2 linked regions of the Tamandua tetradactyla genome follow. The protein of the gene in region 1 interacts with the protein of each later gene in a pairwise test. Links are inferred from orthologs where the notes say so. Each region holds a gene or a part of one and is shown on either strand. Other genes may lie near its edges.

Region 1 (16,083 bases):
TGTTAACAATTTCACAGTGACATTTACAAGGTGACTCTTAATGTAGAGTTAAGGCTAGTATAAGCTACTTATCAGTCTGTTTAAAAAAGAAAATAAAGAATGACTACATGGAAGAAATATTCAAAAAGTTTTCTTACCTTAAATATACCAACCCAATCTTTTGGATGTGGATGGATATATGGAGTTAAGGTGTAATGACATTCCAGGTGTGCATTAGGAAGATAACTCTTGGCCACATTTTGAAAGATGACATGTGCAAAGTTGGAAGTCTGCAATGGGACTTCTTGAAAGGATGTCATTGTGTATCTGAAACAAGTAATTCATACAAAATGAATGACATCAACTAAGAAGAAACTTACACCTTCAGAAAATAACATTTCATACAAGTTTTGTGAATTTGCATGCCATAAATACTGAGAAGATATATACTTTTAAAATACTGGAATACCTCCTTAAAAATGTAAATAAAACAAGAGACAAATTGGGAAATTTGGCTTAGAATGTTACATGGGGGTTAGAAAGTATAAAAAAGGAAAAAAGAAAGAGAAAACAAAAACAACAAAAAATAATGCTTCTCAACTCTCCTGCAAAGACTAGACCTGTTCATTTTAAAAGCAAATGAACTGAAGGTGTTTTAGAGCACCAACAGTCACCGAAAACCTGCCAGCCCTTGGCTACAGATATTATGAAAAAGAAACAAAAACAGGTCAATTAAGTTTTTCTTTCCATGCTGAACCCTCGATCTTCATTGTTTTCCTCCCTAATCTGGCCTACCCAATCGCTCTCCTCTTCCTGGGTTCTAGGCTCCTGTAACATCCTGCTTCTAACCTGCTGACCAATAGCTCTGTACCTGCCTTTTTTGCCCTGGGTTCCCGATTCTCTGGACCAGCGCCCTCAACTCTGGCTACAGATTAGAATCACTGGGGAAGCCTTCAAAAAGCAAACAAAAAAGATGACTTTTCTAGGAATGGGGCGTAGGCATAGTTGTTGTTATTTTTTTTTTTAATTTCCTCAATTAATCCTAATCCTATGTACAGCCAAAATAGAGCCACAACTTAGACTCTGACCCAGATCAACTTAAGTCTCTACTACCACCTCTCACTCATTTCCACAAATTCCAGATTGTCTTCTTGGCCTTTGGTAAAACTTTGTTCAACTCTCTCAAATCATGAAAAACCTCAGCTGGTCTGCTTAAAATAGCTCAGCCTAATTGTTTCTCTCTATCTACCCCAATTCTACCCTTTCATTCCAGGTTGACTTCCAGTATTCGTGTACCTTTTCCATGTATGTACTGAATAAAAATCTTTTTAAAAAATTTTAAAGCAAAACAGATATACAACATCAATGAAATACATTCTTTTGAAAACCTGTTGTAGTTAGTGAACACCAAGAACCGGATTGATGAATGGTGCCAGTGGGCAATAAAAAACTGGAAGACCCAAATGTTTTCCATAGTTTTTGCTCTAATTTTGAGAAAAAGAAAATAACTGGGGGATTTACTCAAAAAGGCAAACTACGAATTATGTCACAGGCTCAGCATAACCCCTGATGCTACCGTACACATAAGAATTATGACACTGACCCTATGGCATTTGCTTCTGAGCCATCAAAACAGAAATCTCCATAATAATGGGGGAAAGTGGTAACAAGATTTTCGTTAAACAAATTAATCTAATTTACTTAACAAATCAATGAATTTTCTACAGGGCAAGCACAACAGTAAAACACTTACTCATATTTTAGCAATTAAGAAGCCTTTATTGCTAAGAAGACCTAAGACAGTTTGCTTGCACAATTATTTCTTCTGCTGACCTGTTTTGAAATAAAGGCAAGTTTCTTAAATTTTGAAACACTACTTTGGAATATATCCATTCCTCTTCTTGTATCCTTTCTGCTTCTCTTTTGGTCATAGTACTGCTTTACAAGAACAATAGGCTGGACACTCCATAAAGAACCTGACCTGACAGTAGCGAACCTGGTAGCCATAAGGGTAGTTCAGCAAGTCTCTTTCATTTCACCTCTCTCACCCAAGTTTCGCCAGAATCCTGAGGTATGTCAGGAGTCCGAGGTGTTAAGAGAGGGCATTCAGTAGCAGTCCTTTGCACTAACAAAGAGCTTTACTATCAGCAACCCTATTTAATAAAAGGACTTAAATGTCAATATTCCTACATCTGGTAGTCTAAAGACTTCAGAGAAATGAAAAGGCAGCATTTCCAAAGACTGGGAACTCTGATCAAAATAACTGAAGAGTTTTATTTCATTGTTTCTTTCAGTAAAAGAATTGGCTACAAGTTACCAAAAAGAAAAGCTATAGCTAAATCAGCCCAATCAATAGCTAAACCAGTTGAACCAATCTCTATAAGGTAAAACTACTTAAAATAATTCAAGCGAATCAGTAATATTTTCCTATGAAGAAAGTGACTATTTAGGTTTCTCTAAGGAAGATATTCAGCAAGGAGAAAATAAGGCTCCCTTAGAATAAGTTTCCCATGTTGTTAATTAAAAGTGTTACAAAACTTTTTTCTTAAAATCAAACATGTTTTTTTACATAAGCTAAATCAACAAAGCTGTAATGATTTGTTTATAAAACAATTCAGTAGAATTTAAACTTCTGTTTAATTTCAATTAAAAGTTTTTTTTTTTAAATCCATAACCCAACCTCACACTTTTAACTTCATTGAAAAGATTTTTGAGCATAAAATAGCATGCAGGTGTACACATACATATATATATATACACACACATACATATTTTCACATATGGTATATGAGCATATATGTATATAAATGCACTAAAAGGGACTGAAGCAGTACACAGTTAAAAAATCTTTACTTATGGAGGATAGGATATGTCTGAAAACAGAACTTAAGAGGACTTTCACCTTTTTTTCAACACATTTAAGGACTTTCACTTTTAACTCTATTTATTGTCTGAATTTCTACCAATACACAGAAATCTATTTTCATTGCTTTAAACATCCATATGAACATGAAATTTCCTTTTTAAGCCCTCCCCCAAATTTCAATTTTTGACAGAAAACTAACATCAAACTTAAAATAGATTCATGGCATTTATATGTCTGAGGAATAAGATAATCTGTGATCATCCTATTAAAAATCTTCATTAATCCCATTCCAACAGTCCAATCTTTTAAAAAAATTCAATATAAAATTACAGAAATATCTCACAAGTCAATCCATGTTTATCATCACTTTATTTTTTACTCTTTTTATTAAATTTCACTACTACTTCTAGTCACTAAAAAGTTAACATGGATGAATACAATACGAATGTAACTACAAAATGAATCAAACCATTTTAAACAGCAAAATTAAAATTCTCACACAGTTCTTTTGGTTCACTCTGTCCACACAGAGTAAGTAGAACAGAGAAATGGGCAAGCTGATAAAAACGCTGGAATTCACTAAAAATACTGGATATTAAGATGAGTGCCAGCGGGCCACACTTGCTCAGCAGGCAGAGTTCTCACCTGCCATGCAGAGACCTGGGTTCGTTTCCCAATGCTTGCCCATGCAAAAAAAAGATGATGAGCCCCAGGTAGATTTATACACTACACTATACACATCAACACGCACATCCAGAACCAGTGAAGAAGTAATGTGCAAAGTCTATGCATCACCTTGTGGTAATCCTTGGGAAGTGTAGCATCCCCAGCATCCTGAGAAAAAAATGCGAGCTGCACCTCAGTTTGAAAAAGGAAATATAGCTCCTATCTACAAAGGAAATAGAGCATACCAAATTTTGCTTCCTATTCTGTAAAGTACCTCTTCAGACACATGAGTAGATTACAGCGGCAAGCCACAGATAAGTAAAAAGAAAAAAAATCCAGTTAAGAATTAAAGGAACAGATACATTTGGCTGGGAAATAAAATCTGAAATGCATATATATATATGCGGCTACAGTGTCCTCGTCCAGGACTTACTATATTTCCTCAAGTCCTAACACCTCTAGAATTCCTTCAGCTGTGTTAGGCCACAAACTAGGTATTATAAAAGTCTTTAGTCTAAAATTAAATTTTGTTATTCTGAGAACTCATCAATCCTTAAAAAAAAGTAATATGCAGTAGTCTCTAAAATAAATTTTGGAGTCACGGGTAACATTTCAAGGTTGTTTTACTTGCTTCTCTTTCAAATATTTCAAGCCCAAAATAGATCTGGCTTTTGTGGCAGGTTTTGTTCCCCCTCACTGTGGTTTCTGATAATTATTTTACCTGACTAACCAAAACATGCAAGCCTTAGTCAACTAATGTTGAAAACAGACTTGAGAACCTCTGTGCATTAAACATATAAAGTCAAATTAAGTTTTTTAACTTAAATAAATATTTTCTATAATTTCAGTCCCAACAATTAGGACTAAAGAAGCAGTAAGGTAATTTTGTTAGGTCTGATAACGAGATTGTGGTAATTTGATATATCAAATCCTCACCAATTAGAGATGCTAAACTAATTATAAGAGAACTGTCCTTATGAGTGGGATTTGCTTTACAAACTCCAGGAGAGGGGAAAATAAATGGTTGGAGGGGGTAACAGAACAAGACTAGCAAAATGTTAATCTATATTATTTTTAGCTCTCCTTCTGTATGTGTTTTTTCTGTGTGTCCTCAGAAGCACTGTGATTCAGGTAGTCATTGACAAAATTAGCGAAAGCTTTGAGAATCTCGGGTTTGGAAATTATGAACCTTTAAAATTACGTCAAAATTTCAGTTCTACAGGACACAAAAACATCTAAAAAGGTGGGAAATGTCTGACACTTTGATAATATTTCAATATTTGAATGCATACAGAGTATCAACTGGTTTATAGCTCACTACTCCATCTGCCAAACCGCATTCCTGCAGATTCCCCATTTCCAGAATCCTTTACAGCTGAGTGTCATTACACTCTGCCCATGTGTCCCGAACACCAGTTATATTTACTTTTAAAAATTTTTTTTAAAGTTAGTTTCTAAAATGCTACGAATGCCCCACATATACTTGAGAGGAGGGACTTTCTATTTTTTACTAAAGATTTGGCCCAAAATAAGCTTTAATGAGCAAAAAGTGCATAAATCCCAAGTTTTACTTAGTAATATCCAAATTCCAAAAGAATACAATCTAATACACTCCACATCTGAGTAATTCCCCCAAACAGGTAATGAAGGAGCACTGTTAGGATCCTCAAAACTATTTAACATTATTTAAAAGACCGAACTTAAAGAGTTTCAAAATACCTGTTACTTTTGTTACGGGGAGAGTATTTACTGGATAACTCTACACAACTGTGATGTCTAGAATAGGATGTTCTTTGACATCTGAGAACCACATTGGGAAAAAAAAAACCTTAAGTCAAATTTAGTGTAATTAAGTAATCCTTCAAGAAATCAGTCTACAAGTTCAGATAAAAACATCGAAAGCAAGTCTGGCCTCAACCCCTTCTCTATAGCCGAAAAGGGCTTTGAGGGCAAGCAGCCCACCTTTAGACCAAAAGGGTGTAATATAATTTATTAACAGGGTGATGTAGACAAACACCCACATACCAGCTAAGCTCTAACAGTGGACTCGAGAAAGCATAGCTCCGGAACTCTTAAGACACGGTCGGGACTTGTTCACCACCCGCGGGGGAAGGAAGGAGAGTTGTGAAAACAAAGAAAACTTTGACTAGTCAAAGGAAGATGTGACTGTCCTCTAAAGACTTTTTTTTTATTTATTTATCTCTTCGAGTACTGGGAGATGAGGGGTGGGGGAATTCATAAGCAGATTTCGAAATTCTGTAGTCCAGGTGAAGTAGATCCGGACCGAACAGCTAACCCCGCCCGCGGCCCTACCGCGTGGGCGGTACAGGGGGAGTCTCCGCCTCCTGATCCACGGGTGACTAAAAACAAATTCGCGAGTCTCTGCCGAATCAAAGGCGGCGTCCATCCCAGACCTGACTTAGATGTTATCCCAAGCTTACCGATACCGGTAGCACACACAAGCCCTCAACACAGCGTCATCCTAGAGTTGATCCTTGGACAGCATATTTTTTTCTCCAAGAGCCGCACAAGTCACTTGTCCCGACCAAAGGGCCCACGTCCCAAGTCCCAAGGCCTGTACGCTGGCCTCCCCCGCCGTGGAGGGCGGCCACTCAACGCTTTTCCAACTCCACTGCTAATCGAAATCGCTCACACACCCCGTCACAATCACAGTCCAACAGAAAAATGTTTGTTCCCGGGAAGAAAAGCATCGTCATCACAGAGAACCAGTTCCCTGAAAGCTGCCAGGCCCCTAGCCTGCAGGGGCTGAGGGGCGTATCGCGAGTCCCAAAGGGGTTCCAGCTGGAGTCTGCCCCCGCAAAAGTCGCTGGAGCGGACGGAGAAGGGCTTACCTACTGAGGGACTCCCGGGCAGAGGAGGAAAGTTACAGAAGCTTCCGAGCCAGAGACGCCATCAGGGGCCGAACCTCTTCCGCCAACAACACCTCCCTCTACAGACTAACAACACTTCTCCTCAAAGCCCAGAGCCGGCGTGACATCACTTCCGCCCACGAGGCCGTTCCTTCCGCTGCTGCGCGGTACGTCCGGCCGCCATGCTTCGAAGCGGAGCCAGCTGTTTCAGCCTGCAGGGCTGCTCGGCCTCGGTTCTCGGTTTTACAACTTTCGTTCAGAGGTTCACTTCAGAAAATCAGGCTCCGTTTTTAGCATTTGCGGGTTTTTTTTAATTAGTGTTTTAATATGCGAAGTGGGGAAACATACTGGAAAATTAAGTTAGCGAAATAAAGGGTTACCCAGAGGTATGTGAGTTATTGCCTGGATCTTAAAACTCTGTCTAAACTAATTCACTTATAGATAAGGAGAGAGAGAATGACAGAGGTGAAGAGAGCGACCGCACATCTAGGGCTATAACCCCTGTGGCTCTCCCTCAACCCCTGCTCCTGTTTCTTGAACTACCAAGTTTTGTTAAGCGCTCCCTTTCTCCGAGGAGCTATTTCTCTAGCTCCACTGGCCTCTTAACGCCCACATTTCTGTAGTAAACTGTTTTTGTTATCTGTATTATTTTGTGTGCGAATTTTTTCCTATGTTTTGTTAAATTATAATTGCCTTATATGATGTCCTTTAATCGCTTTTTAAACTTTTATCTTCCCTTCCTATAGTAGGCACTCAGATTGAATCCTAACTCCGCGGAAGCAAGTGTGCCTGTCGGTACTCATCATATTCCTGTATTTATTTCCATAAACACTGAAACAGTGTACAGTATCACCAACGAAGAGAGGATGACAAATTAGACCGCATTAAACGTTGAAGCATCTGCTAAATAGAAAACATACACATTATGTATTTGCATGTAATAAATTTTCTATTACCCATTTTCAGTTCATGAAACCAGAAACCAATATACTTAATAAAAACCACAATTCAAAACAACACTTTTGTGAAGGAATTTTTGTTTTGTTTTGTTGTTTTTAATAATAATGTCTAAACAATTTTAGACCTTGTTTTCCCCATGAAGTATTTGTTTAGCTACTTTACTTTGCTTTATTCCTTTTAATAACAAGTCCTTGAATTTTTAGACCATGTTTCTCCCATCAAAATAAATACATAGCCTCACAATATTTAGGTGAATTTTTTTAATTAGCCTGTTAACAAGTAGGGCAGTGTGCTAGTGACTATAAGAGACATGGGGCCACAATTCTTATGTGAAAGTCTTGGGCCAGGTGTAATTCAGAATTTTTCAGGCTTTAGAAAGGTATATTTCGCATTATGTGACACTCCTACAGGGTCTAGAGGCAACACCTCATAATCAAATTAATGATTTTTCTGTGAAAATTGTAAGTATCAACTAAGGATAAATTAAGACTGTAAATAGTCTGCCTTCAGTTCCAGTTGTTCAGATCAGGTTTTACAACTTTACCACCATGTATTCAAATTAGATCAAGTTTTCTTGACAAATGAGTTCAGGCCACAGCAAATTTTGTCTAGTGAAGAAACATTTGATTTTCAGAGCTTTTTGGATTTCAAAATTGTGAATAAGAATTGTCGACCTGTTAAAAAAATTATTGGAAAAGGTATCAATCAATTTTTCTGGAGTAATTACAGTTTCAAGTAGTTTCTAGCCTGTTGTCCTGACCTGTTTCAAACTACCTATTGTGTGTTTTGATTAGGAAAATAGCTGACCATATCTATAGGAACAGTTCCTCTCTTATAGGAACTCATGATAGTAAAGGGAAGAAAAGAAATTAATCCATGAAAACCTAGGTGACTAAAGTAGAAATAAAATGCTTCAGAGGTAGGAGAATCATTACAAGCTTGTGTGAGCAGTGTACTTTTCATAGAGGAAGCAGGCCTACACTGTTAAAGTTAGGCAGGGATTTGATGAGGTGATAGGAGGAGGAAGACTTCCCAATTATGATGGGCATAGGAGTTAGAGGAGAGTTAACAAAAAATAATAATTCCCATTTATGAAACATATAGTGCTTTCCAAGCACTGTGCTTGAAATTTGACTTATATCGTCTCCATTCCTTGCAGCAGCCCTGAAAGGTAGGCATTAGCATTGCAGTGGAGTGGAGCTCAGAAAGGTTATATAACTTGCCAGTGATCACAGAATGGGTTACCCAGACTGGAACTCATTTTTGTGACTCCAAAGTTCATGCATTTCCTACTATGCTCTGATGCTTCTTGATGAGTGCTTTTTTGGTCATTTACTTTCTGTTTGGTTTGCTAAAGTTGCCAAAATGCGCTCTACTAGAAATGAGTTGGTTTTACAATGGGGATTCATTAACTTCGAAATTTACAGTTCTAAGACCATGAAAATGTCCCAATCAAGGCATCATCAGGATGATACCTGGACTCTGACGACAGGCTACTGGCAATTCTCAGCATCTCGGCCAGCATGTAAGGCACATGGCAGTTCTGCTGGTCTCTCATTTCTCTTCTGGGTTTCTTTTCTTTAAGCTTCTGACTTCTCTGTCTGTGGCTTTGTTTCTCAGCTTTCGTGTGTTTTTCTCTCTCAGCTCTCTCTCTCTTTCCTCTTTCATGCTTTTATAAGGGGCTCCACTAAGACTATTAATTAAGACCCACGTGGGGCATACCTCAACTGAAATAACCTAATCAAAGGTCCCAACCACAATAGTTCTATACCCACAGAAACAGAGTCGCTTTAAGAACATGATCTTTTCTGGGGTCCATAAAACCTCCAAAAAAATCACACTGTGTGGTCTCAACTTGTGCTAGGTGCTTGAGGAAAACAAAAAATAAAGCATGGTTTCTTACTCAAAGCTACCAGATACCTCTCTGATAATACAAGATGATGTCATTAAGTGTTAAATGTATAGGAAATGGACTGCAAGAAGTAAAGTAGAAAGATTGATGCAGAATTATTTGGGAATTACTGACAATTTAAAAAAGACTGGACTCTAAACTTTGAAATATTAACAGAATTTGAAAAGGTGGAGAAAAGGCTTGCTGGGTAGTGGGAGGGTGGATAATGTTATTAGAAGGGCACAAATGAGGCAAATAAGTGGTACAGCATGGGTTAAAAATTAGAAACTAATTCCAATGGGCCTGTTATAGAAATATTATAGGTTTTAAAAGCCAAGTAAAATGAGTTGTTTTCATTTTTTAGATCAGAGGTTTCCCTTTGAGTTTGTATTAAAGATTCCTTTTGCTACAAATGATTCTTTCCTTTTAAAGTAAAACATATTTAGAAAAAAGCACCTTTTTTTTTTTTTTTTCTTTTGCCATGGGCAGGCTCTGGAAATCAAACCCGGGTCTCCAGCATAGCAGGCAAGAATTTTGCCACTGAGCCACTGTTGCACCACCCTAGGGAAAAAGCACTTTTAAGGATGGGATTTGAATAATGGTAGGCTTTTGATAGAGAAGTCACTATAAACAAGGTTATTTATTTTCTCTTACTCGTGTGTTAGGAGAGGGTATGGATGTACTCCTTGTTCCTTATAGTTTATTAGCCACTACTCTCCCAGATGCTGGTAGAAGGTTGCTTCTTTGATTAACACGATTCAGTTTTATTCACCTTTTCCCTTCTTGTTGCTATCATCTGCTGATCTCCACAGCACTTGTCCTCATTTATGGAAGACTATCACCTTATGAACAGTCTTATTCTTCATTCCAGGCCCTTCAGGATGAACGTTCCAACACCCTGGCCTTTTTATTTCTTGAATCCCTTGTCTTCAGTGATCTCCACTCCACTCCAGATACCTATATTCCTGTTTGTACCTTGGACCATAACTGTTCCACCTTCAAAATCAAGCATCCTACACCAAACTAATGCTGATGAGAAGATTTTCAGCTGTTCCAACTTCCCCTCTGGATACCTTCCCTCTCAACTTAAATGAAGTAGAAAGTTTTATGCCTATCAGGCAGGGCCTACACCCCATGAAAAGTCAGAGCAGCTATAGAAGACAGACCCTCATCCTTCAGCAACCCTTAAGATTAAGAGGCAATATCCTTTAGTGTGCCGCTCCCCACCCCCCACCATCATTTCAGGATGAAAAAGTCAGAATACGTATTGCCCAAAGATTCGTATAGATTGGGAGAAGGACCAAAGGAGAAGGAGGAGGTATAGCGAAGAGAATAGGATTTAACAAATGAGTATGACTGCTGAATCACTATATTAATATTCCTTCTAGCTTCCAGTGTCTAAAGTAGCTAAAAGGAAAAATCTGAGATGAGGGAATGGTAGCCCATGACAAACTCTGGGATTTGTTCAGTAACTACTTGTTGAAGTGTGCCTTGAAAATAATTTTTTCTTTCTTTGCTGTGTATATATGTTATATTTTACAATAAAAATGGTTTTAAAAAAACAATGAGCTCTTTATTCCTAAAGACCACTCTAATATCACAACTTAATTGTAACAATTTCAGAAAGTGTTTTATTAATGATATAAAATATAGCCTACCTGTGTGTTTCAGCTTCTTTTTCTTTTCCCATTTGTGTAGGATGCTTTTCTGCTTTAATAAAATTTCTAATCTTTAAAAAAAAAAAAAAGATTAAGGTGAGAACTGTCTCACCTTAAAATTTAATAATCTTATTTATTTTAGTAAAAAATAAAATTTCTAATCTTTAAAAAAAAAAAAAGATTAAGGTGAGAGAGAAGGGAGGGGGAAAACCCTGCATGGAGCCCTCAAGCAATGATGGTAAATCAAGATCAGGAGGACCAGTGTCCTACACAGACAACCTGCCTGCAGCTACCCCTTACAGGAAACGCCCAGTGGCAACTGACTCTCCTAGAGCCAGATAACCCCACTTGAGTGAGTCATCCATGAAGAAGGATGGAGCCAACAGACTCGCCCAAATTCACTATCTACCAACAACTACTGCCCTGGAGAGAAGAGAGGGTAGGAGAAAGAGCCCAAAACCAGGAAGGGAGAAGGGTTGTAAGTAAAGCTAATCTGCAAAAGCAAATGGCCCCACATTGCCTGTTGCCTCTCGCCTCTCTCACCTTTCAACTTTCTTTTCTTGCTCGAGTGCCTACATGTCTTCTCACATGTGTATTCAATACATTTTCTAATTGCTTAAAAAAATAATCAAGCATCCTACTCCTTGACTATAATCTCCTATTTTTCTAACTCACTTATTCAACTATACCCAAATAGAAACAGAAACAACTGTTTCTCAAACTCATCAGGATTTTAATTCATTAAACTTCCTCCTTTAAAATCTTCCTGATTACCCAACTTAAGATCCATGGACTATTGTTGGGGATTGAATCATGTCCTCCATAAAAGGGATGTTGAGGTCCCAACGCCTGGTCCTATAGCTGTGAACTCATTTGTAAACAGAACTTTTGTAGATGTTATTAGTTAAGGTGTGCCCAAACTATATGAGAATGGGCCTTTCTCCAATGTGACTTAAATCCTTAGAAGCAGAGGAAACTGGACACAGAAGGAGAAGCCATGGGAGAAGAAAGAAACTGGAAGTCAATGGAACTGGGAAGAGAAAGAAAAAGATGCCACTTTGTTTTTTTGCCATGTGATGGAGAACCCAAGAAATCCAAAAATTGCCTACCAGCCAGAAGATACCTACCTGGGGAAGAGATACGCTTTCTAGCCTCTAAACCCTTGAGACAATAAATTGCTGTTTTAGGGCAACCCATTGTATAGTACTTGTTTTAGCGTCCAAGAAACTAAAACATCTACTTCGTCAATATTATTTCCAGTATCCGAAACTACCTTGACTTTCTAACTTGCAGTTTAAGTGTAATTTCCTATAACAAACATGCTTTATTAACACTGTGGTCATTATATGCTTTACCAATAAAGGTTATGTTTAGGAATATTAAACAAAAACTTTGAAGTTGAAATGGAGTGTCTTGAGGAATTTCTTCCACGATCAAAGAAAGAGGCAATAATGTATGGTAATAAGAAGCAGAACTTACTTTATACTTTAATATATACTTTAATAAGACCTTTGCCCCACCTAGCTCCTTACAGTGTTCCTTGTACAACTGAGAAGTCACTGGAATGTAAATATTTTCTAATCTCTCTTCTTTATTTTACTAAGAAAAATAGCCAGCACAGTATTTTTAAATTATTAAAGTACTTATCTCACAAAGCTTCTTTCCTCTTAGTGTTTCTCATTAAATGCCTTTATTATTTTTTGAGTCACTTGCATATCAGTGGTAATCAAAGTTAATAAAAATTACTTAAATAAAATGTTATTAAAAGGAATTTTTAAAAAACTTTTTGCATAATATAACATATATACAAAGCAAAGAAAGAAAAAAGCAATAGTTTTCAAAGCACTTTTCAACAAGTAGTTACAGGACAGATTCCAAAGTTTGTCGTGGGCTATGATACTATCCTCTCAGATTTTTCCTTCTAGCTGCTCTAGAACATTGGACGCTAAAAGGAGTAAATATTTTTTATCATCACAATCGACTTTCTTTTCCTCTTTTTTAACATGTGAAAAATAACATATATACAAAAAAGCAATAAATTTCAAAGCACAGCACAATTAGTTGTAGAACAGAATTCAGAGTTTGGTATGGGTTGCAATTCCACAATTTTAGGTTTTTACTTGTAGATGCTCTAAGATACTGGAGACTAAAAGAAATATCAATATAATGATTCAGCAGTCATACTCATTTGTTAAACCCTATCTTCTCTGTATAACTCCACCATCACCTTTGATCTTTTACCCCACTCTTTAGGGGTATTTGGGCTATGCCCATTCTAACTTTTTCATGTTGGAAGGGGCTGTCAATAATATGGGGTAGGTATGGAGATATCTTATGGATCTTACAACTGGAGGCGGTTTTATGGACCTTAAACCTAAAGCAAGAGCACTGAAGAAGGAAATAAATAAATGGGAACTCCTCAAAATTAAACACTTTTGTGCATCAAAGAACTTCATCAAGAAAGTAGAAAGACAGCCTTCACAATGGGAGACAATATTTGGAAATGATATATCAGATAAAGGTCTAGTATCCAGAATTTATAAAGAGATTGTTCATCTCAACAACAAAAAGACAGCCAACCCAATTACAAAATGGGAAAAAGACTTGAACAGACACCTCTCAGAAGAGGAAATACGGATGGCCAAGAGGCACATGAAGAGATGCTCAATGTCCCTGGCCATTAGAGAAATGCAAATCAAAACCACAATGAGATATCATCTCACACCCACCAGAATGGCCATTATCAACAAAACAGAAAATGACAAGTGCTGGAGAGGATGCGGAGAAAGAGGCACACTTATCCACTGTTGGTGGGAATGTCAAAGGGCGCAACCACTGTGGAAGGCAGTTTGGCGGTTCCTCAAAAAGCTGAATATAGAATTGCCATACGACCCAGCAATACCATTGCTAGGTATCTACTCAAAGGACTTAAGGGCAAAGACACAAACGGACATTTGCACACCAATGTTTATAGCAGCATTATTTACAATTGCAAAGAGATGGAAACAGCCAAAATCTCCATCAACAGAAGAGTGGCTAAACAAACTGTGGTATATACATACGATGGAATATTATGCAGCTTTAAGACAAGATAAACTTATGAACCATGTAATAACATGGATGGACCTAGAGAATATTATGCTGAGTGAATCCAGCCAAAAACTAAAGGACAAATACTGTATGGTCCCACTGATGTGAACGGTCATTCGAGAATAAACTTGAAATATGTCATTGGTAACAGAGTTCAGCAGGAGTTAGAAACAGGGTAAGACAATGGGTAATTGAAGCTGAAGGGATACAGACTGTGCAACAGGACTAGATACAAAAACTCAAAAATGGACAGCACAATAATACCTAATTGTAAAGTAATCATGTTAAAACACTGAATGAAGCTGCATCTGAGCTATAGGTTTTTGTTTTGTTTTGTTTTGTTTTGTTTTGATTTTACTATTATTACTTTTATTTTTTTCTCTATATTAACATTCTATATCTTTTTCGGTTATGTTGCTAGTTCTTCTAAACCAATGCAAATGTACTAAGAAATGATGATCATGCATCTATGTGATGATGTTAAGAATTAATGATTGCATGTGTAGAATGGTATGATCTCTAAATGTTGGGTTAATTTCTTTTTTTCCGTTAATTAAAAAAAAAAAAAAAGAGAAGGGATAATTGGAGATGAAGGGATACAGACTGTACAACGGGACTGGATATAAAAACTCAGAAATGGACAGCACAATACTACCCAATTGTAATGCAATTATGTTAAAACACTGAATGAAGCTGCATGTGAGGTATAGGTTTTTTGTTTTTGTTTGTTTTTCTTTCTATTATTGTTTTAATTCTTATTCTGTTGTCTTTTTATTTCTTTTTCTAAATCGATGCAAATGTACTAAGAAATGATGAATATGCAGCTATGTGATGTTATTAAGAATTACTGATTGTACATGTAGATTGGAATGATTTCTAATTGTTTTGTTAATTCTTTTTTTAATTAATAAAAAAAAAAAAGTCAAAAAAAAATAATAATAATATGGGGTAGGGAGATGGATCTAGCTGATGTCCTGGAGAAGTTGGGCCCTCTAGGTTTCACAACTTACCTGGTCCAGGGACCCATCTGGAAGTTGCAGTTTTCTGGAAAGTTACCCTAGTGCATGGGAACCTTGTAGAATCTGGAAAAGAACTTTTAAAGTTTTAATTTTTACAAAGTTTGATTCAAAATTTTAGTCTAAAGTGTGTTTTATTTCCAAGATCCCATCCTCTTCTACATTATCTCTATTTTATTCAAGCCCTCTACCACTATTCTTTAACAGGCTTTCATGTTAATTTCACTTAATTTCTTAAAACTTTGCCAACTCCATATTTCCTTTAGCTGCTATGTTTTGTCACGTTTACAACCAAACTTCTCATTTCTAGAAAGAATTGTATATATTCCCCTCTGTTATTTCCCACCTGTGGTGGTTTGAATTTGTGGATCCCAGAAAGAAAGTCCTTGAATCCTCATTCAATATTGCTGGGTGGGAGTCTTTTGGTAACCCATGGTAATCAATGTGACCCAGCCAATTGTGGGTGGTAACTTTTGATTAGATGATTTCCATGGTGGTGTGTCTCTACCCATTCAGGGTGGGGTTGCTTACTGGAGCCCTTTAAGAGGGAACCATTCTGGAAAGAGCCACAGATTCCGGCAGCCAGAGACCTTTGGAGATGAAGAAGGAAACGCCCCTGGGGGAACTTCATGAAACAGGAAGCCTGGAGAGAAAGCTAGCAGACTCAGCCATGTTTACCATATGCCTTTCCAGTTGAGAGAGAAACCCTGAACATCACCAGCCTCTTTGAACCAAAGTATTTTTCCCTGGATGCCTTAGATTGGACCTTTCTATAGGCTTGCTTTAGTTGGGACATTTTCACGGCCTTAGAACTGTGGACTTGCAACTTAATACATTCCCCTTTTTAAAAGCCATTCTGTTTCTGGTATATTGCATTCCAGAAGCTAGAAAACTAGACCACCACCCATCCTTCACCCCACTTCATTTGGATGGCGCCCCTATCACACCAGAACAGGATGCATTAAGAGTACAATGTGTTCTGGACTGGAAAATCCACTTTAATATTCATGCACTTCCCTTGAATGCTAAATCTGTGTCTGACCTCATCCCATATTTGCCTGGGATTCAAGAGTTCCATGGAAAGAAA
Region 2 (16,129 bases), on another chromosome or scaffold:
GTTGAGTTATAGGTTGACAGTGATAGAAAATTGTTTTCAGCCTAATATAAAATGAACTACTTTTATCTATATTCTTAGCTTTAAAATTGCCCCCATTTTTCTTAATATGTCTTTTTTGAAGTATGAGCTAAAAACTCCTTAATACATATTTAAAACTAAGTGCCCTTAAGGCTACATAGGATGCTAAAGCTGTGGGGTCTATGAAATATACACTCTGCAAAGAAATATGCCTGGAAAGAGAACTAGCTACACAAGTAAAGATCTGAAAGTACAGGAAATAAAGGAACTGTAAAAGTAACAGATACAGAAGATGGAAGAAGGAGACCCAGAGAAATTTTAGTTTTTAATAAGATTTAATAGAGGACTCTTGGTTAAGCTGATAAGAATGGAACATAAAACTGTAAAAACTGGTAAAAGACATAAGTTTTAAAAACAGTCTGGGGCAGGCCACGGTGGTTCAGCAGGCAGAGTTCTCGCCTGCTATGCTAGAGAACTGGGTTCGTTTCCCGGTGCCTGCCCATGCAAAAAATAAGAAATAAAAATAAATAAAACCAGTCTGGAAGACTGTTCTAAAGATCAAAAGCTATGCAATTTTAATTCGCTGTGCATGGTTTGTGTTATAATAGAAATTAAGAATGTGAAATTCCACTTAATGACACAAAGAATAAAACTATAATCCCACAAAGTTTTTACAGAATGGGAGAGGAGACATCTCGCAGGGGCTTGGAAAATGGATGGCTGAATGATAAAAGTGATTTAGCAAAGAAGTGTTGTGCTCAGTGAATAGAGACATCATACAAGTCCCTTGAAGTCAGGTTCAGGGTAAGATTGAAAATAGGATTGGATGAAAACTTTAATATGGGAGATTGGGAAGATGACAGTAATGCCATAATTTTTCAATCTCCAAATCCCCACATAAAAGCAGCTGGATAGCAAACCAAATACAGAGAACATTTAAAACAAATTTAGGTGACTTGATGTCCTCAAATCCCAAAATACAAGTGAATGAATACAAACCCACTATAGTCCATAACCTACATGAAATTGGCATCTATTGAGAAGTAGAGGCAACAGAGCATCTGATGGGCCTGAGAAATAACTAAAGCGGGCCTATTTAACAGTATTTGGGATTGGGAAAGGTTTCACTCATTTCCAACGTGGGTGTATGCGGGACTTAAATAATCTAGTACTTATGAACTACTGAAACTGAACAGACAAGTCTCCATTCCTGGAAAGGGTCCCCCATGGAAGAGAAATTTTGGTTTTATCAAAATTGAGCAGGAGAGAAAATAGAGGTAGAGGAAGAGCAGGTTAAGTAGAGTAAGATACTAGAGTACTTAGGGATGCACATTCTGGTTATAAAGTATTGAAGATATTCAAAGGAGTGATTGCTATAAAATTCAGGATATTCTAAAAGAGGGAGGACAAATGATGGGCTTTCTAGGACTGGCTGACAAAATTTTATTACTTGAGTGGCTTATGGGGTGTTTGCCTTTAGTAACTAAGCCATCTTATTTTAAAAGGCAAGGGGTCAGCCTTATAATAACAAGCCATATAGCTGTTTTGTGTGGTTTTACAATAATTTTTTTAAATGCTAGTAGTTCATCAAACTGAAGATGCTATTGATTGTAAAATACATCATTACTTTATGAACCATTGGAAAAAAGAAGAAACATCCATTATATTGACATGCCATCAACAGTAAGACACCCTATTTTTTTCTCAATGTTCAAATGAGTACCTTAGAATAAATGAAACACAGTAGATACTACAAATCTCAATCCTCATACACAAAATCAGGCAACAACCTTCCTCCCCAGTCAAAGACGAAGTTTTGGACAATTGTCTCTCGACAATTGACACCAGATGGGCTCTGATCTTAAAAGACATGAAGCGCAACTGAGGGAAAGGTAAGACTGCTTAAAAAAAGGAAGAAGTGACACTCTATAACAAACAGTATGAGTCCCAGTCCCATTTCAGTCCCATTCTTCTCTTTCTGGAATTCCAGTTACATGTGTTGGACAGTTTGAGTTCGTCCCGCAGTTCTCGGATGCTGTTATGTTTACCCCTGTTCCTTTTTTCTGTTTTACAGTTTGGGTAATTTCTATTAACTCATCTTCAAGTTTGCTGATTCTTTCCTTGACTGTCTTAAGTCTAGTGATGAGATCATGAGCCATTCTTCATCTCTCTGTTTTTTATGTCTAGCATTTTCATTTGACTCTTCCGGTTTCTCTATACTGACGTTTCCCATCCACTAAATCTCTCCCTAAACACATTGGTGTTTAACACTTGCTGATCGTTGTTTCAGGGAGGCAGAAGAAGTTGAAAGAACTCCAGATAGGAATCAGAAGACTTGTCTGAAATTCTGAGTGACCTCAGGTGAACCACTGAACTGTTCACGCCTTTGTTTTTCACAGTTAAACATGAGGGGTTGAAATTTCTGAAATTGCAACATCAAAATTCTGAGAATCAAACACACAGTAATCTTTTTGATTGATGGGTAACCATTTAAAGACTATTTCAAAAGTTCCACAAGAGGGCAGCTCCTCCACATCACTTAATTTTGGGAGGGAGGAAATAAAATCCAAGCACCTTTGAGTCTATAAAAATGCTTTCTTATACAATATTTTTATTTCTTTTAATTGTACAAGTAGAACACAATATATTCTCACTTAAATATTCCAGCATTACAGATGAATTTCAAAACACTTGTTAGTACCCTAATCCTAGTACCCTTCCATATTATCAATTTGATGAATATGTCTTTTCTATGCCGCTTTTTCTGTGACTTTTTAAAAACATGAGTTCTGCACTAATTTTTATAATCGCATAATTTTGCAATCTTCCTGTCAATATACATTAAAAAGCTTTAACCACTACCTTTAGTTCTATATAACGCATGTCATAATTAACTCTTAACTGATGACATTTAAATTATTTTCTATTGTCAGTGCTTCATTGACTATTTCAGTACAGTATTTTGAAAAAAGTGTTTAAAGCCAGACTTTTTTTCATAGCGATTCAGATTTTAAAGCTAATTTATTAACCCAAAATAGTAATGTTTTAGTAATTTCACTAGTCACAAAAATATATACGGTCAGGACACAGAAAAGAGATTAGAAGTGGGGAAGGTTGGCAGCCTTTCTTGGAAGTGTTAAGGTTTATTCCATTTTGTGATATTTATCATTCTAGGATTCCCCTCACTGTTAAAGGCATTTACCAAGCATGGTCTTAACTTAGATTGGATCAGACTTAGAGACAAATGGCCCAGTTACTGCAGAGAAGATGGAAACAAGGAATGATCACACGCTGCCTCCCCAGAGAGAGTAGGTTAACCTGTCAGCCACAGGAGGGAGCTGTTTTGGAAGCAGCCCCAGCCAACATCTTAACTAAAAGCTCATTAAAGACTCCGAGCCAGAACCAGCTAAGCTGCTCCTGAATTGCTTGCCACACAACCCATGAAATAATGTTTGTTGTTGTTTTAAGCTGCTGAGTTTAGGAATGATTTGTTATGCAAGAATAGATAGGTAATGCAACTAATATCTACGTTGTGAGCCTCTCTGGGTGAGGTCAGATGGCTGGGAAATCAGGTTGGGTAAATTCCCAAGGTCCCAGAACATCAGGTCACAGTGGCTGATCTGTGCCATATCCTCCTCCCAGCCTCAAATATTCTAAAAATGCCATTTTCTAAGGGCCCACAGGGCCAAGGGCCAGGTGTTTTCAGGAGCACATTCTAATTAATGTAATAGATGCTGAAAAGCAAGAACTTTCTCAGTGTTTTAGGAAAATGGGCTTGGAACTCCCTTTGCAACTAATTCCACCAAAGCTTGCTACCTTCTCTAACCAGTTTACCAATGTTTTTCAGGTCCGCATTAGGTTTACTTTTTTCCCTTCCTACCTTCCTGTGTCTAAGGGATTAGTACAAGCCCATGAACAGCCTCAATGTCAGAACATGCTTTTTAATCCCCATGGATAAGATACAAACACTGCCAAAGTTGACTCATAACAGGAGAGCTGGGGCTTATGACAGCTGACGGTGGGAGTTCTGAGGCAGGCACTTAAATCCTTTAACTTGGCAACCCAAAGGAGCTGGGGGTGGCGCGCTCACCTTCACTCTGGGATGCTATGGTTTTATTTCTAAAAAAGTCATTCTGTGATGACATTTGGGAAGTGGGCAATTAGGCTTCAGGTTTGGAGGGATTAGAGGGAACGATTTCCACTTTGAAATGAACTCTGAAGATCCAAACAGTGGGTGCGACAGAGGATCTGGTCATTTAAGAATTGTTGAGGTAAAGAGACTGCTAGAGAAATCTCAGAAAATATTCTCCCTAAGATTACAAGGTTCCCCCCGCAATTTATTAATTTAAAAGTCAAGAATGGAACACATTAAGTTATAATGGAATAAACATAGCTTTTGGTGTTGTATAGACATGAGTTCAAATCACACCAGCTGTGGGATCCAGAGCATGTTATTTTGCATCTCCAAGCTCAGAAGGAATAATTCGGAAAATATGTATAGTATTTAACATGGTGTCAAGCACACTTAATAATTCCTCCCTTTTTTCCAATGAAGGATAATAATAATGGCAATGTTAATAAGTTAAGTCTTTTGTCCAGTTCAACCTTAGACTTTCATGGCAGCTTGAAAACCAACAACCTTGTCTTGTCCAAAGGCTCTAGGGAACCTCTTTGAACCTCAAGTTCTTCACCAACAAAATGGTAGAAATAATAACTTACACTTATAGGGTGGTATGTGCCCCACGCACTGTTGTAAATTTTTTTTTACATATATTAACAAACCCACTGGATGCAGCAGCCCACTAAGGTAGTTTTTTGTTTTGTTTCATTTCGTTTTTTCATTCTACACATGAGGTAACTGGTAGAGAGAAGAGTGTATCAATGGGCCAAAGTTCACTTAGCTAGTAGGTGATAGAACCAGAGTTCAAACCTGAACAGTCTAATTCTAGTGCCTACACTTTGTGCGTGTGCTTGAGGGGTGGATTTTAAATGTGAAACCAATAAAGACTGTAGGAGTTGCCTGGGAAATTATCTTTGCTTCCTTATTTCACACCTCCCCCAAACTATTCCTATGTTTAAGGTACATCAGTGGCAGGAGAGTGGAAGTTAGCTGTCACTCTAAGCACTTTTAAGTCGGAGGCAATTAAGAGCAAGCATGCCTTTGCCGCCCATTTTCACATCTGACATGCTGGAAACAAAGGACTTTGAAATAAACAGAATAGCGCATCTGAAACAGCACGTATGCCTGAATTTCTTTTGGAGTAGAACCAAACAAGAGAATCTTCCTGTTTGCATTGGGCCATTATGAGGATGAGAATAAAGCTTTATGTTTAGCAACTGAGTTTGGGGTATATTTCTCGCATTAGCATAGCTTCGTCCATCCTAACTAATAGTTATTAAATGGCAGTGATCATTATTTTTCTCAAATAAAAGACATAAAACCTTGGAAGGAAAATTTCATGATGTAGATATGAAAAATGTAGGATTCACTCTTCTTGAGCAATCACAATGACATTAGGAGAACTCAGAGCTTTTTAAAGGATTAAATGATAAACTGGGTGAGTATGAATAGGAAAGAGTTAAGAGGTCCAAAAAGGGAAAAGAAAGGGACCCCCAAGCCATGCATCTTTACGGAAGACTTGCCCGGGCCCTTCCTGGGTTCCAGCACCCAGACAAGCTGACTGCGTGGTGTAGAGCTGTATAATCGACTCAGCTCTGGGAGGGGCATGGAATTCTTTGCAGAAGAAAAGGAAATGTCCTCATATAGACTATGGTGGTGAGGGCATGGCCCTGTGATTATACCAGGAACCACTGATTTTTTATTTCGGTTGGATTGTACGATATGTGAATAAAACTGTTTAAAAATGAACAGAGAGAAACAAGTGCTGGAGAACATGTGGAGAAAGAGATGGATCTATTCACTGTCTGTAGGGATCTGAGAGGTGCAGCCCCCTGGAGGGGAGTGTGGTGATTCCACAGGAGACTAGGGGTGTCATTGCCATAGGATGCTGAAACCCCATTGCTCAGTATATACCTGGAGGAACTGAGTGTGCGGACAGGAATGGACATTTGCACACTGGTGTTTATGGCGGCAGTGTTCCTGTTCATGACTCGCAATGAATGGAGCTGGCCTAAGAGTACAATGACTGAGGAATGGAAGGGGAAACTATGTTGTATAATACAATGACAACAGACTACTGAGAGCTGCAAGAAGGAATGAAGGTGTGAGGCATGCAACTAGGTGAATGACCCTTAAGGACAGTATGTTGAATGAAATGTCAGAAACGAAAAGATAAATATTATTATACCTCACTCATATGAACTAACTATAATATACAAACTCAGAGAAATGAAATCAAGAGCATAGGGCATCAGGTTAAGACCTATTATAAAGGTTCCTAAATTGTAAGTTCTTATAGCAGTCACATCTATTCCAGAGTTGTAACTGTTATTTCTGAATTCTAAGATGCTGAACTCTCTGTATATAACCTGGTCATTACCTGGAACTTTGGGTATTTGTGTGACAACTGAGTCTCAGAGAGCCCTGAAGCTATGAAAGTCAGCATTATCCCACACAGAAACTGTTGAAAAAGTGATCAGACTTCAACTAGAAATATGAGTGAAGCTGACCTGGATAGGACTAAGGTACATCAGAGTGCAGGGTAAAGGATGATATGGTTTATATATTAAAACCTCAACTTCTGTGTGAGACAAAAGAAAGAGAAGGAAGAGGTTTATATTTTCTGTCACACAGTATCTAATTTAACTTGTGCATTCAAACACCACAATTACATGGAATCTTGAATAGGGCATGAGAGCTTGTTGGTTTGTAAAGAACAGTGCGATCTACCAATACATCCCAGAGTAATTTGGCAGAGAATAAAAAAGTATTTGCAAAGCCCCCTTGGGGAGCTGGGGAGAAAGGAGGAAATATTAAACTTCTCCACCTGGGGAATTCCTGATATCCTTGCAAGCATTGAGGACTACCAATTTAATAGGCTGAGCCTTCGATCTTGGGCTTTGACCCTATAAAAATTATTTCTCCAAAGGAGAGCTTAAGCTAATTATAACTATGTCTAACAGTCCCCCAGAGACCTCTTTTGTTACTCAGATATGGCCTTTCTCTCTAAGCCAACTCCGCAGATGAACTCACTGCCCTCCCCACTATGTGCGACATGACTCCCAGGGGTGTAAATCTCCCTGGCAATGTGGGACATGAGTCCTGGGGATGAGGCAGGACCTGTCATCATGGAATTGAGAAAGCCTTCTGGACCAAAGGGGGAAGAGAGATATGAAACAAAATAAAGTTTCAGTGGCTGAGAGATTTCAGAGTCAAGAGGTTATCCTGGAGGTTATTTTTATACATTATATAGATATCCCTTTTTAGTGTATGGTGTATTGGAGTGGCTAGAGGGAAGTACCTGAAAGTGTGAACTGTGTTCCAGTAGCCTTAATTCTTGAAGAAGATTGTATAATGATATAACTCTTACAATGTGACTGTGTGATTTTGAAAACATTATAGCTAACACTCCCTTTATCAAGGGTATGGACAGATGAGTAAAATAATATAGATAAGAAATAAATAATCAATATGGGGGATGAAAGGTCAAATAAATTGGTAGATGGAAATACTAACGATCAATGAGAGAGCGGGGTTAGGAGTATGATATGTCTGAGTTTTTTTCTTTTTTCTCTTTATTTTTCTGGAGTGTTGCAAATTATCTAAAAATGATCATGGTGATAAATACACAACCATGTGATGATATTGTGACCCCTGATGGTATACTTTGGATGGATGTTGTGATGGGTGAAGATTTCTCAATAAAAATATTTTGAGTAAATACAATAAAACAACTCAACTTACTTCCCCAACTCACTCCACAGGGCCTAGACAGAGTCAAGGAAGGACACGACTATGCTGAAATGGCCTTAGAATCTGGAGGCCTGCTAAGAAACCCTTCTGACTGCTGAGACCAAGTTCTCTCTCCTCATTGTCTCACTCAAGGCCTCAGGGTGGGCTTGGCAACCATTACTCCGGCTTTGTTGGCAGAAGGAAAGGCAAAACTTAAAAAATAGAGACTTAAATAGTTGTGTAAACAACAGTAATAGCCTACTTCTTTTTTGTTCTGTCACTCAGCCAGTCTGGAGAATGTTTGATCATTTCCTTCTGTATCATCATCAGTCTGAAGACTCTTTCAGTGTCAGATGACTCGGTCTGGAATGGTCCCAGCGAAGGCCAATGACTTCTCAGGAGCACAACCAACAATGGAGGAGATGCAAATGGTTCAGTCTATTCTCCATTCAGGATGGGGCTGGGCCTGGAAATACGAAGGGACCACTGTGCTCTTGGATGTGAAGTGAGTGGGTGATCAGCTTCGATAGCAATATCATTTTCCAGAAGGGGAAGCTGGGTCCCTAAAACCATAATTTCCATTTAAAAGAATGATCTCATGGAAAGCATCCTGGACGGCAAGCAGAACTGTCTTTAACTATCTGTTTAATCCCAGGTAAATAAGTTCATTTTTGTGGCTCGTGGTTGCATCTATTTTTTAAAGGCGAGATCTTAATATGATAACTGTCCTGCTCACATTCTTGGAACTGCAGAAATATGACAAAATATGTTGGGCAATTGCAGAGGGGAATATTACTTTGACACACATTAGATCTCAACCCTAATTTCACATCTTCTTATTTGTGCGACCTTGGGCAGATCACTCAACATTTATGAGTATCTATTTTTTACTGTGAAAAACAGCAGCACATTTCAGGGTAAGGTGGAAGAATCTTAGATTACCTTCATTGCTTTAGTGTTAAATGTCCACACTTGCCATGGAAACAGCCTAACCAAAAGGTCCTACCCACAATAGTTCTGTCCCCACAAGAATGGATTAAAGGAACGTAGGTTTTTGGGCGGCACATAACAGATTCAAACCAGCACACTCCACCCTTTGGAACCCCAAAAGAAGTATTCTTTCCATATGCAAAGTACATTCTTTGCATCACAGTATCACAAAGGCTTAACTCACTAAAAAGTTTAATAAAAAAATAATAACAACAATAATAAATGTCCTTACTTAAGGCTATTTCTATCCAGGACCAATGCACTACGTTGTAAACCTTGATTTCCTTAGTAAAGACAAATTCTTAATTAGTTATGAGCAAAGTGACTTTCTCTGACTAACAAGCATGCAAATTCCATTTCCATCCTCAGAACCTACCTCCCTCCTGCCTGGATAGGGGGTGGGAAAAGGGGAGGGAAGGAGAAGTCTGATATCACACAGCCCTATGTAAGGGCTTCCTCAGGTTCCTGCAGGCAGTTTGGAAGCAGCTAGAGGAATGAGTTAGGTCCTGGTCCTGGGCTTTTCTTTTCTTTCTTTCTTTTCTTTTTTTAATCAGACAGACACAGCTGTAAAAATGCAGCCTCCACAGAAAAGCCCAAGCCCCAGACCTTTCAAGCAGAGGAAGAGCTTAGGTAAAGTTCTGGGGGTGTCTTTTTAGATTCCAAATCTTAAGAAAGGGAAAATTTTTAAAATGCAGACTTCTCTTACATGCTTATATATTCCTTTGCACTTACAATTTTCACAGCAACCAGAAGAGAGGAAGTTGCTGGAATCCGGGCAAAGTTCCCAAGCAAGATTCCGGTAAGACTCGTGTTTTCCTGGGGGTGGGAGTGGGGTGGTAGGGGGGCCTGTGATTCTGTTCTTTGTAAAAACAAAAACCACTCAACAACCTCCTTCTCTCTGTTCCAAGTTCCTAAGAACACTGAGTCACAGTCTTAGGCACTTGTTTCAGGAAAGATTCATGCTGAGACATTTGACAGGTGGTAGTGGAGCGCTATCCCAGGGAGAAGTTCCTGCCCCTCCTGGACAAAACCAAGTTCCTGGTCCCACAGGAGCTGACCGTGACTCAGTTCCTCAGCGTCCTTCGGTAGGTGATGAATCCTGCGGGAGGTGGCAGCTGTGGATGTCTCTGGGCTTTGGGGAGAGTGGGGGTCTGGCAGAGGGAGACAGGAAAGAGTTCTGCTTCACCTTTTCCTTTAATTATACTTTTAAAAAGGGTGAGCTTGGGTGAACGGGTGGTTCACTGGTAGAATGCTCACCTTACATGCAGGAGATCTGGGATCGATTCACAAACCATGCACCGTGCCCACCCCCTGCAAAACAAGGCGAGCTCATGCATCCCCTATTTTAAACAGAAAAGAAATACCTTGCTAATAACCCTCAGTGAGAGGTCCCAGTGTTGACGTAAGAGCTGTTTTCTCTTTTATTTCAACTTTTACTGAGACCCTATTTTAATTGCTACCTTCAAATGTCTCTAATGACTTTTCAAAGGAGACTTGTTTCTGAAACTAGTTGAAGAAACCCTCCGTTGTCAGGTATTTTGGGGGCCCAGCAGTCAGCATTTTGCCCTCATTAGTTCTCTTTCTTTGCTCCCCTGATGGCAGTGAGGGGTTGGGTTTTGTGCATCTGCTAGGATCACCGAGCACAGGAAGCAAGTACCTTCTGCTCCTGCACGGCTTTCTCCCTCTCAGGAGAAGGAAGGGCAAAGCAAAGGAAATGTTGCTGATTTTAAACATAAAACTTATGGGATTTCAGTTGGTGCCTGTCAGCTAGACTCAATAAATACGATTTGGAACTAAAGCCCGTTGACTGGTGGGGGGGAGGGGGGCGGCCGTCAGCATGGCTGGTGTGTGTGTGTCTCCCTGAGGCGGAAATAACCTCTCGGAGGTTTTAGCTGATGCAGGCATTTTCTCCAGAGCACTTACTATGATTTTTTTATGAGCTCTTTTAGAACGCCCAGAGTTTTCCTCAGATCTGCTAAGGGTTGTTTAGGTGAATCTGGTGGAAACTGAAGGCAGCTATGGGAGAACCAAAATCAGGATTAGATCGTTGGGCACCATTCCCCCCTTTCCTCCATGTAGGGCCACCTACAGTCTTCACGCACTCCCCATTCTCCATCCCAGAGATTTCAAATTTCTACTTTAATTCCTTCAAAAATAGTTGACACGCAGCACGCACTATATATCAGGCTATTTATATTCTATGCTCTGGGTATGGGACAGTGAACAAAACAGACAAAATTCCTGCCCTAAACATCTTCTAAGCCACAGAGTTCTCCCTCTTGGGGACCTCTCGACGTTAAAAGGATAACCTAATAGGAGATGGAAGGAAAAGAAGGTCAAATTTCTTGACAAGAAGGGTATCCTTTGAGAACCAACTGCCGACCTCCTCTTCAGCTCTGTCCTTTCTACAGAACAGATGTTTGGTCATCCCAGGAGGACAATGCAATTGTCAGGACTCAGTCTCTGGGTCTGCCAGCATCAAGTAACTGGCCTGGCACCTTTCAGCTGGGCCCAGGAGGGCACCGGCCATGGCTCTTAAACAACGTAGGGTGAGGCGGGTTGGCTGTTGAGGAGGATGGGTGGAAAAAGAGACATTTAGCCATCACCAATAGATGTAACTTGCCATGATGCCAAAACAATGATTCAGAGCTCTTAGCATGCCCAACCAAATGTGGCTGCTCCTTTGTCACCTTAATCCAAGGGAGAAGTTGTTCTAAATGCCCCCCGCCCCTGCCCCGAAGCTGTTTAAGTGATAGGTTATGTGGCATTACTGGAGAATTCTTCACTTTAGATTCATAGCAAACAGAGGCCTACTTACTTAGCTTTTTTTTTTTTTTTTTCCTTTTGCATGGGCAGGCACCGGGAATCGAACCCGGGTCTCCAGCATGGCAGGTGAGAACTCTGCCTGCTGAGCCACCATGGCCTGCCCTTGCTTAGCATTTTTAACCTGTATGTATTTTTTCTAGTAAATGAAGACATGGCCTTGCACTTCGGGCCCAACTGAGAGTCCCAGGGCATTTGAAATCTTCCGGGAAGTATAGTGAATCTTTTGGCCAATTTCTAATAACTATTTTGTTGCCCCAGTAATACTACAGAGAAGGCCATTTAGGCAGGTCCTTTAATTTTTTCTACACTTTGGTTTTTTTATCTATAAAGTAGGGAATCAAATGAGACAAGGGCTGAGGTTTTGTTAAAAAAGTTAAGTGGTGGGGGGTGCAAAGGTGGATCAGTGGTAGAATTCTCGCCTGCCATGGGGAGACCTGGGTTCAATTCCTGGACCAGGCACTTCCCAAGCAAACAAAGAAACAAACAAAAAATTTAACAAATGGTGCTGCAATAACGGGATACTCACATGGAAAAAGAACGAACTGTGGCCCCACCATACTGAGTACAAAAAAAAGAAAGTTAAGTGGTGGACAGATATAAACTACCGTTTCAGCAAGGATGGTGCAGGCAGGCATATAGGTAGAAATGGCAGTTTGAGAGACTTCAGGCAGCGGTGGGGCAGCAGGGGTGCTGCCTGTGTCTCTTGAGCAATGGTTCTCAACGTGAGGTGCACTTACTTCACAATCACACAGATGCCTAGGCTGCTTCCCAGATCAATTCAATTTAAATCTGTGGGGGTGGAGGGGGTGGGGGAGGTGGGGGGGGTACTGGATCCCAGGAATCTGCATTTTCAACAGGTCTCTCCTGGATGATTCTAAAGTGTGAGGACCACAGCCCTAGATTGGGGAAGGGAGGGCATCTGGGTAGAAGCTTACATTGGACAAAAACTGAGCTACACCTTCAGATCAGAGGCCCATTCCCTGCCAGATTAACTTCTTTCCTTTCTGCCATCTCCCCACCCCACACCTGTGCCCTCCCCTACCCACCTGCTCCCACCAACCCAGGAGCCGCCTGGTCCTAAGGGCCACTGAAGCCTTTTACGTGCTGGTGAACAATAGGAGCCTGGTCAGTACGAGTGTGACCATGGCCGAGATCTACAGGGACCACAAGGACAAGGACGGCTTCGTGTACATGACCTACGCCTCCCAGGAGATGTTCGGTGGCTTGGGGTGGACAGCCATCAGGGACCGGCGCCTCTTGGGAACAGGGCTGCCAGCCTCTCAGGCTCCGGTCAAGAAGAAGTTGTCTTCTAACTGATGCAGATGGGACTGGCTGTTCCTGTGCGTGCGGTGGAAGGGTCGAGGAAAACGAGTATGACCTGGAGAGACAGCCCCATCAAACGACACTGAAGCCACCGGTCGTTTCTGGCTTGGTTTCTCTTTTCATGAGCCCTGTCACTGGAAGAAGCTCCCATTGCTCATGGAAATTTTGTAAATGGTGATTCTTTTTGTCTGAATAAGCAATGGTGGATTTGTGTGATGATGTTGCATGATGCGCTGGAGTTATCTTTAAAACGTCTTCGGTGGTGGAGGTAGGGCAGAGCCTTGGGGAATCCGAGTTCACTGTCTCCTGGAGGTGTCACTTCTGTGGGTCAGTGTACAGAGAATGCCTGCTCGGTGGTCTCTCTGGAAGCCGGTGCAGACAGTGCAACCACATTAAAGCTTATCCGGGTGTGGTCTTATCTGTGTCATTAAAGAGACTCTTGTTACATTTCCATAGTACTCACTCAGTTATTTCCTATTATATTCTTTTTTGTCTATGCCAGCATTATGACTTCTTGATTTTAAATAATTTAAATTAATAGTCTTTTTTTAAGATAAGAATCTTTAAAATAGTAGTCAGCATTTAAGTTCTTTTTATAGACCAGGCTTTATTCAAATACTCTACATGTGTTTATTCCTCATGACTCTTCTATATGTTAAGTACTATAATCCCCATTTTAAAATGAGAAAATTAGGTCAATGAAAGGTCAAGAAACTCACCCAAGGTCCCAACTAGATTTTGAAATCAAGCCCCAAACCCCTTTGCTAGTCTTCCTTTCTAACGCAGAAGTTTCTTCACTTGGTGGGAACCGAATATGCTTGAATTGAAACTGAGTTACTAGCTTAACAATTCGCAATGGGAAACAAAGAGTGTTCTAGTTTGCTAGCTGCCAGAATTCAATACACCAGAAACAGAACGGCTTTTAAAAGGAATTTATTAAGTTGCAAGTCCACATTTCTAAGACTGTGAAAATGTCCCAACTAAAGCAAGGCTATAGAAATGTTCAATCTAAGGCATCCAGGGAAAGATACCTTGGCTCAAGAAGGCCAATGACGTTCAGGGTCTTTCTCTCAACTGGAAAGGCACATGGCGAGCATGGTGGTGTCTGCTAGCTTTCTCTCTAGGCTTCTTGGTTCATGAAGCTCCCCTGGGACGTGTTCCTTCTGCATCTCCGAAGGTCTCTGGCTGCGCAGGGTCTGTAGCTCTTTCCAAAATGGTTGTCTCTTAAAGGGCTCCAGGAAGCAAATCCCGCTTTGAATGGGTGGAGACACACCTCCATGGAAATCATCTAATCAAAAGTTACCACCCACAATTAGATGGGTCACCTCTCCATGGATAATTTTAAAACTCCCACCCAGCAATACTGAATGAAGATTAAAGGATTTTCTGGGGTGCACAAATTCAAACCAGTACAGAGAGGGAGACACATAACTGCAGTAAAGCTTGGACATGTAAATCTAGTTTTGTGCAAAGGACATGATTTCACTGATAGGAAATAATTAGAATAAGCAAATTCATAGAGTCAGAGACTAGAATATAGGCTACCAGGGGCCAAGGTAGGGAGAGGGGATGGAGAGTTAATGCTTGATTGGTACAGAGTTTCTGTTTGGGGTGATGGAAACATTTTGGTAATGGATGGTAATGATGGTGGCACAATATTGTGAACACAACTCTGCACTGAATTATATGTTTGAATGTGGTTCAAGGGAGACTTTAGGTTGAATATATGTTATTGGAATTAAAAAAAAGCACATGGGACTTTACAACACAAACAGTAAACCCTAATGTAAACTACGAACCATAATTAACGGTACAATTATAATAATATTCTTTTATCAGTTGTAACAAGGAACCACACTAATGCAAGCTGTTAATGCCGAGGTATATGGGAACTCTGTATTTTCTGCATGATTTTTCTATAAACCTACAACTCCTCTAGTAAAAAATGTTATATTTTAAGAATTATATTAAAAATAGAACTAGTTCTATGCCAAGAAGAGGAGAGCCCAAAGAAGGCAGAGTACCACTGTGTTCGGAGGGTTCACTCAGGAAAGACACACAGAGGAGTGCAGTTTGAGTTGGGTTTGGAGAAGGAAAAGAGTTTTCATGAGAAGAAATTCTTTTTTGTTGTTTTTGTTTTCACTTACAGCCAGTAAAGATTTATTACACATCTGTTGTGTGCCAGGCAAGAGCTACAGCAGTAAACAAGACAGAGAAGGGCCCAGTCTCATGGAACTGGCTCCAGTGAGGAAAGAATGAAAATACAGAGACTAGTAATAATGTAAAGAAACAATAAAACAGAGTTGGGAGCAGAGACAGTGAAGAAGACTCTACCTCGATGGTCAGGGAAGGCTTCTTGGAGGAGGTGGCTTTTGATCTGAGTCCATACCATGAGAAGAAGTCAGTTCTTTGTGATCTGGAGGAAGAGCCTGCAAATTGTGTAAGAAAGTGAACTATGTTTTTCAGTTTCCAATATTTTTATTGACGCTATTTCCTTCCATGCTTTTGGCTTTTCTGATTGGAGCAGGATATTTTCAATGGGCATAAATTAAAGTTTTAGCAAATATTTATTGTCATCTTCTTTCTTTCATTCTTTCTTCCAGACCCTGGGTCCCTATTGATATGGACTGGCCCCCTAGCTCAGAGAACAATTGTCCCTGATGATTCCTCCCCTTTTACATCCATTTTCCTTTTACTTTGATCATTTCTTCACCGTCTCCATGAAAATAACCTGGGCCAATTTCTGCTGAACAATGGAAAGATTACATTATCTTAAATTATTACACACTAAAAATGACAAAGATAAAAAGTATTGATCGAAAACAAACAAACAAACAATACGAAAGTATTGATCTGCCACTGGAGTGGAGGCGGGAATGACTAGAAGAGACAGGTGAAAACTTAGGGACAGAAGTGGGAAGATTCAGGAGAGGATGCCCAGGGAATACCCTGACATAGGGTGGTACAACAACGGTGGCTCAGTGACAGAATTCTCACCTGCCATGCCGGAAACCCAAGTGACATAAACTTAGTGACATAAAACAGGATTTATTCTTTCTCACGATATTCTGGCTTGGCGACGAGGTTCCTCAGCTGCTTTCACCTGGGCTCACGCAGGCA

What was found.
Region 2: the proteins of TAX1BP1 (region 1) and MAP1LC3C interact in binary tests that used the Homo sapiens proteins (3 or more experiments, as listed by UniProt). The link is inferred for Tamandua tetradactyla from reciprocal best matches to the Homo sapiens genes TAX1BP1 and MAP1LC3C.

Annotation. Positions count from the first base shown.
Region 1 is NC_135327.1:95,379,037-95,395,119, forward strand, and holds the start of TAX1BP1 (tax1-binding protein 1), read right to left. Parts: upstream 6,515-16,083; 5' UTR 6,364-6,514; intron 307-6,363; 5' UTR 300-306; coding exon 138-299; intron 1-137.
Region 2 is NC_135333.1:13,050,659-13,066,787, forward strand, and holds MAP1LC3C (microtubule-associated protein 1 light chain 3 gamma), read left to right. Parts: upstream 1-9,340; 5' UTR 9,341-9,432; coding exon 9,433-9,490; intron 9,491-9,603; coding exon 9,604-9,659; intron 9,660-9,838; coding exon 9,839-9,945; intron 9,946-12,750; coding exon 12,751-13,003; 3' UTR 13,004-13,595; downstream 13,596-16,129.